Arabidopsis thaliana: one gene and its partner. Changing the gene in region 1 together with any one later gene gives a genetic interaction. Each region holds a gene or a part of one and is shown on either strand. Other genes may lie near its edges.

Region 1 (3,757 bases):
AAGATGTTAGAAACGTATAGTTAATCTAAGAAAATAAACAAAGAAGATTTAAAAAAAAAATATGTTTGTAACCACCTTCTTTGTCTTGTCGTCCTCTATATGCATCTAGAAATAAAAGTAGGCGAATGGAATCTGCAAAACCTTTATATGCAGCCCTGAATTTCTCAAATTATGAGAAGAATATAAAGACGAAATTAGAACTGTCTTCTGAAAAGATACTGTAAAAATAGGATAAAATCAAAAGGTCAACATAAGAAAGCTAAAAATCATGCAGTAGAATAATCCATGTAACGGTAACGAAGTCTCAGTAAGAAAAACGGGAGAGAAAATAACCTATGTAACCTTAGTCTCTAGATGGAAAACAGTAATACGTATTCACAAATCTTCATAACAAAAACTCGAGAACTATCATAGGCAAATAGTTGACAAAAATTAATTCTAATCCACCCAGTATACTTGGCAACTAGAACAAAATTGAACGAAGAGATATTAAATCTATAGGAATAATAAGAAAAGGGAACAAATAAAACCAATTATCCAGTCTCCAAATAAGCGTGCAAGGCTAAACAATTGTAAGAAAAAATAAAAAGAAGCCAAAAACCAATTACTAAGTAACAATTTCACGAAGGCAAGCTTTGCAGCAAGCATACCAATGCAAGGGGCTTCTTCCATCATTATCAGGCACGTCAGGATCAGCATTCCACTTTGAGACAACGTGACAAAGAAAAGCAGTCTGGCCATACTGTGCGGCAACATGTGTTGCCTACAAGCAGTTCAAAATTAAGTATTAACATACACCCATTGAGAACTAAACAAGAAAAGAAGGGAAATTTGATAGAAGTCAGCAGAGAACATGGACGCGTAGTTAAAGAAGAGATATGAACCTGATAGCCATACATATCCGTTGCATCTACTCTTGCACCCTCTTGTAATAACAGTTCTGCAACTTGTATCGCACCACGAACAGCACTCCAATGCAATGCAGTCTGTCCAGTATGATCCGTCGCGTTTACATCTCCACCATGCTGGAAAAACCAGAAATCGAGAAGGATCAGTTTTAGAAACTTGAAAACCACTAGTTCAAATCTAATTTAGCAATCAACAAACAATTCGTAAAATGACACAAAACCTCGATAAGGTACTGGGCAACGGCGACGCGGTTGTTCAAGGCAGACCACTGAAGAGCATAGTAGCCAAGAGCATCAGGCTCGGAAACAGAGGAACCCTCACACTCAACCAATCTATGAAGCTTCTCCAAATCACCATAAGCGGCAGCAGTATAGACATCGTTCTTCAAGCTCTCTTCTTCAATCCCTTTAGAACTCGATTCCCCATTCTCCTTGGGATTCGATTGGATTTCTTCCACCACCTCAATCTCCGATGACATTTTTTTCTTTTCTCAGAAGAAATTGAGATCGATCGAGATTCGATTCCCTCCCTAATGGATTTTGACCTTTGATTAGTCTCCCCCGAGCATAAATAAGTCGTGAGATTTGGGGGGAAATGAGGGAAGGAGCTAGGTTTTTTCTGGGGGAATCAGAGGAAGAAGAAGAAGAAGAATATGATTGACGAACTCAAAAAATTGACTAAGAATCGGATTAAGACGGGTCAGAGACAGACTTGCTCTCAATTCTTATCGTTCATTCATTTCATTAACTTTTTTTTGTCAAACAAAACCCAACATTATTTTATTTTTTGGTTTTAGTGTTAACCAAAAAAAAAAAAACCAACATTTATAAATTGATTAATTTCATGATCATTTTTTTTTGTATGTAATGGGAAATATTATACCTGGCTAGTTGAGTGATATATATATAGTTCAATGGAATATGAACGAATCAAAACATCTGTCTTAATCATAAGAGATACTTTTTCATTTTTCATATCTTGACAAAAAGAGTTATATTATAAATGTTAAGAAATCTTTTATAAAACCTTGAACTATTGAATCATTTTGGGACAGTGATTTCTTATTTTGATAAAAAAAACACTGGTTTGCATATATATATAAAAAAAGTATTATTTTGAAAATGCATACTCTTGTATTAATAGATGAAGAAACATAATGGAATGATTTTAGAAGAAAAAAAAATATATGAAGAAACATAGTACGTTTACTAAACCAGAGAAATTGCTTTTAAATAATAATAATTTTACAAAAGTCAACTAAGTTCCGCGACGAGATCTCATCATCTCAGTTGCTTATAGTATGTGTATATATCACTGTTAGTTTTACTTTAATTCACTAACAACTAGTGTAACATAATTATTGATGAATCGGGAAAGTCTAAGCAACTTTCACACATATTAGAATAGATTGTAGATGGGCTTCATATCATTCGGATTGTATAACCCAAAGTTTTGTTCAGTCCCGACCGGCTTTTGATTTTCATTGAAAGTTGCAAACAAAAACCCGTCGATGCCTTTGTTAGGCCTTTTAGGTGTACCTTTTCCGCTTGCTATATGCTTCACGAAATTTCTGTTATAGGTACCCGCGATATCCGGCGTGGTAATGTTTCCATTCCCGGCAGATGGCCATCCGGTCTCGGACACCACCATTGGTAAATCTTTAACGCCTTCCTTCTCCATTGCCCACACGAACGCATCAAAGATTGCATCAAACATGTTTGAATAGCCCAGTGATCCATCTTGTACCACGATGGCCTCAGTGTTGAAGGTGGCATAGTCCAAACGGATGCTAGATGGGTCGGACGCATAGGAGAAGTAAGGGTAGATTTTTACGAGGATAGGCGAATTTGTTTGGGATAATAGTTTCAGCACGGGGACAAGTTGTTCACGCGCTTGAGACGTGAACATTCCTGCGGAAGGTGGGTATGATTGCTCGAGGTTCCACATAGCCACCACCGTGCTTATCGAGATAGGAAGATTCCTTGACTTGACGAGGTTGGTGAGAGACTGCATGACTGGAAGCACTTGAGGACCGATTGGTCCGGGGATGACTTCGTTACCAACAGTAATGAACGCGATGTTGATGTCGGATAAGTAAGGCTCGATGTTGGTCGCAAACCAGCCCTTAACAGCTTCTTCGCTAGCTGAAAGAGCAGCCAAGTCCTGGTCCCTAACTCCTACTGTGACCGCAATATCACGATGGCCACGTAAAGCGTTAAGAACCTCAGTGTTTGGGTCGAAGATTCGGATTTTAGTGATGTCTATGGACTTGTAAAGGGTTATAACTTTTGACGGAGATGGGAGGTTATCTCCGAGGAGACCGTAGTTCAAGCCAATGCTATTTGCTGCGTTTACGAAGCCAATGCTATTTGCTGCGTTTACGAAGTCACTATTGTTGTAGTTGACAATCACCACAATGCACGAGAAGAAGAACAAGAAGAGTTTCTTAGGCAAATAGAGCATGATGAAACTTTTTTTCTGCAAAATGTGTGTATATAGAGATATCCTAAGATCGTACTTCTATGAAGAAGAAGAAGAGAACCAAACTTGATTTGTGTTATTATGTTTTGTTGCAAAATATTTGTTTGCATATATAGATGCATATCTGAGTCTATTTTCAGTCTTATTGGTATGAATAAAATAGTAAAATTCTTTTATTTTGGTTCTTGGTGTAATCTTAGCCCTCGATCTATTTACAAATTTGGTGTTTTCTTTTTTAACTAGTTACTTTCTATTTACATTTTATTGTTTAACTGAATCTTACTATTCCATAACAAACTGAAATCAACCCAATTGAATTTTGTTGTCTAGAAGAAACGTATCCAAAAATACAGGAATTTTGAGTACA
Region 2 (3,757 bases), 5.3 Mb from region 1:
AACAAACAAGATTACAAAACAAGAACTCACAGCAGAGCCTCATCTGCTAGGATATCTGTGCTGGCATCAATATCTACTCCACCTCTTTCAGAAGCAGCCTGCGTGCTGACAGGACCAGTATTCTTCTCTTGCTTCATTTTCCAGCCATCAACTCTCTCCTTCCAAGCTACATTCCCGAGTCCAACAGGATCCACAATCCTTCTATTTGCTGCAGCGTGAATGACAACAACAGATTTTATTGTTTAGAGTTTTGACATAAAAGAGAAGCCTAGGTACAAATATATGTGTTGGCGAGAGAGTTAGAAATAAAGGATATTTACGTGATTGATTGACATCTGATGAATAGGGAAGGCGCTTTCCCCCAGCGATAGTAGAAGATACAGAGAGGCGTTCAGGTGAGGCAGCAGAAAACTCTCCTGAAGTCTGTAAATAAGCAAATGACAAAATCAGATTCCAAAACTAAATTGCGTGAGGATGCGAATGCTTAAGAGGGAAGAATGAACAGCAATGCCTTACATCTTGTCTGCTCGTGAGACGAGGAAGATGATTGTGAGAGACCTCTTTATCATACTGGGGTTCCCCCATTTCCTCTCCCTTCCCACGAGTAAGATGCCAACCAAGCATCCGCTCTGAAATTTTCTCCTTCTGAGGGTAGTTGAACTCAACAGTACCTTCATCAGCTAAGCCATCCTCGTCTTTATCACCAGGAATAGCAGGACTACCTAGAATCAGAAATTAGCAAATTGCTATAAATACCAATCTGATCCAAAATTCAAAACATACTGATAAACTATCGATGAACAATGAAGACAGTATACTTCAGAAGGATCAAAAGAGAACCTTTGAGCCTCTTGTATCTGGTTTTGCACTGAGGACAAGATTGATTCCCATCTTTCCTCTCATACTCGTAGCAAGGCCGACAAACTGGGAATGAACAAATATCACAAGCCACAAAACGATCTCCATCAACAGTCTTGCCAACATTGTCACTACAGATCTGGCAAGTCTGCGGAACAATGTTCTTCATCGGCTTTCCCTACAAATCAAGTCGAATCAATGAAGCCAAAATTAGAAACCTCAACAGAAAATTTGAAATCAGATCTCTCCAATACACAATTCAACACCCAAATCAATCAATTTCAGTACATATAATTCCTGATTTCGATAAAGGTAAGTATAATGATGAAGCAAGAGTCAAAAAAGCATACCGCGGTTTCTCCTTCGGATTCCATTTGTCACTTAGTTGCTTCCAACACCGAAACGTCGGAATAGTTCAAATCTGATCGGAATTATCAAAAACAGAAACTACGATTAGATCTGAGGAGATCCGAGTAAAGGAAGTCAAATCTGAGAATGGATCATGAGTGTAAGAAGAGTTAAAAGCTTTACCATGAGATCTGAAGATGGAGTGTGGTGATGTGACTCTCTGAATCTCTCTCAATCTGGATCCAAGCTTTCTTCTCTACAGAGAGATAGTTTATAAGGAAGACGAAGAGGAGAATCTTGGGATGGCTAAGAAGATGCAAAGAGCAAGCTATTTGTCTCCTCTACTCGTCACTCTTCCAGATTTTTAAAATATTAATATATTTGTCACAAATCATAATCCAACCAAGCAACAACCACCACCACCACCGACAACTTCCACAGTCGATTTTTTTCTAGTTACAGTTTTACAGTGGCTGTAAAAAAAGTGAAAAAACGGCCGATAAACCTTTAAAATATCCTTAGAAATATATTATCATCGAATTAGTGACTAAATCAAAATAGTAATTGATATTTGATAGTGATATAACTAAAATAGAAGTGTGAAGAACACAACAAATCACAAGTAGTGGGGTAAAGGATATTCATCGTCACTAACTTTCTTACAGATAAAACTTAAAAAGTATTTGCCGACAAAAATAAAACTTCAAAATATTAATTAATCAACGGATTAGTCCAATGAATAAATCAAAATATATTGATAGTGATGCTTTACTTACTAGTATATCAAAATAGGCTAAAACCAGCGGGCTGAAAAAATAAAGGTCCAACTCTAGTATCATCAAGCCCAACAGAATCGAGAAAATGGGTTTGTTGGACTTTGCAGACAAAATTGGTATATGTTCGGTTTACGTTATTTACGAGAGAAAATTGAATCGAACCGAACCCAATAATTAATAGGTCAAACTTTGATAACTGGTGGTGCATGTGGAGATGTGTGGCCACTAGTGCAGCAAAGAACAGACTGTCAGATAGACAAAAGAAGAAAATGGCAAACATTTGAATCCCAAAGAGCGCCACTTTCTCTTCGCTATCCGACAAATCTTCCCTCCTCTTTGTCGTCCCTTTAAACCTTTCCACCTTCTGCTTCGTAACTCTCGTACCCTAGCAATCCTCTACTTAAACCTTCCTTTGTTTCTCCTTCACTTTTCCTGTAAATCTGCTCTTTTGTTCCCTCGATCATATCAATTTTCAAGGTCAGTGAAATCTCATGTTTATTTGGTCCTATGTGAATCAGATTTCAGGGTTTGATATTTGTTTGTTCCGTTGATGTGTTTTGTAGATCTTATGATCTGAGTTACTTGCTCTGTTTTTCTGAGATTTATGGAGGGTCTTTGTCTATGTTTCTTCACCGTTGCAAATGAGTTATAATTTCTGTTTACATGTAGTGAAAAAAGTTCAGTTCTGTGACATAAGAAAGTCTTAAAATTTACGCAACCCTAGTTTTTTTATTTTCTAAGATTTCAATTAAAGAACATTAGCTTGTCTCTTCATGATAGTTTTCCACTGATTATTATCACAACTTTTTTTTTTGTTAGATATTTTTAATCGAAATTATTGTAGAGATAAATATAAATACGTTTTTTTTTTTTTTGGTCAAAAAATATAAATACGTTTAGTTATAGCTAAATCTTAGGAGTATAAAAAAAAAAAAAGTAAATAAAAATCTTACCAGTTTTTATATCTCGTATATCTTCTGTATTTTTAGGGTTTTTCTGTTACATCATTCTATGTTTACGTTTCTTTGATTTTTTTTTGCTTGATCATTTTTAAGTTGATTCGCTTTTTGTTGTTTAAGTGTAATGGATTTTACAACAGTTGAGGTCCCAGATGAGTGGCCACATAATTCGAATTCCTTTGTGGACATCTCAACAGGTATAACCGTATAATTCATTCATGTCTTATTTTGGTTGTGTGCGTTTCCGTTCAAACGTAGAAATCTTATTAGACATATCAATTGTCAAGTTTCAGATCACAATGGATCTTCACCTCCTGTAACTCCAAAGTCTGATACAGTAGCTTCCAACTTTGACCAAGGAAGTTCTGATGTTTCTGGCAATCATGATTCTAACTCTTCTTATTCCGATTTAGATTCGGACACGGAGGCCTTTTACTCATCTTTTAACCATCACCTCGTATCACCAGGGTCAATGGATAGCCATGACTTATCCCCGGAGAAACAAATGAGTTATGAAGAATTGATGAAGAAATATGTCCAGTGTGAAGAAGAGCTTAGGACTACGAGTTTGAAACTTCAAGAATTTGAGCAAGAGATTGAGAAACTAAAGGAGACCGAGAAAAAAGAATCGGTTGTTCTGTTTGGCGAGTATCTACGTGGTGAGCGAGAAATCGCACAAGGAGAAATTGCGATTAGGGACATAGCTATTGAGACTGAGAGAAAGCGAGTTCTCGAGGTGCAAAGACAGGTGGTTGATTTGGAAACTGAGCTTTCAGACTTAAGTTTCAAATTTGAGCATCTAGTGAATGAGCATGA

The links.
Region 2: of TIP1 (region 1) and CEV1, changing one enhances a phenotype caused by changing the other (phenotypic enhancement), as found in Arabidopsis thaliana (one study listed by BioGRID).

Annotation. Positions count from the first base shown.
Region 1 is NC_003076.8:6,874,402-6,878,158, reverse strand, and holds the start of TIP1 (Ankyrin repeat family protein with DHHC zinc finger domain-containing protein), read right to left. Parts: upstream 1,719-3,757; 5' UTR 1,388-1,718; coding exon 1,130-1,387; intron 1,026-1,129; coding exon 885-1,025; intron 764-884; coding exon 651-763; intron 156-650; coding exon 76-155; intron 1-75. Other genes in the region: BG5 (beta-1,3-glucanase 5), read right to left, coding at 2,308-3,372.
Region 2 is NC_003076.8:1,533,859-1,537,615, forward strand, and holds the start of CEV1 (Cellulose synthase family protein), read right to left. Parts: upstream 1,701-3,757; 5' UTR 1,390-1,700; intron 1,280-1,389; 5' UTR 1,233-1,279; coding exon 1,209-1,232; intron 1,037-1,208; coding exon 841-1,036; intron 723-840; coding exon 517-722; intron 424-516; coding exon 321-423; intron 209-320; coding exon 31-208; intron 1-30. Other genes in the region: AT5G05180 (myosin heavy chain, striated protein), read left to right, coding at 3,066-3,138, 3,235-3,757. UniProt on the Arabidopsis thaliana protein: Catalytic subunit of cellulose synthase terminal complexes ('rosettes'), required for beta-1,4-glucan microfibril crystallization, a major mechanism of the cell wall formation. Involved in the primary cell wall formation, especially in roots.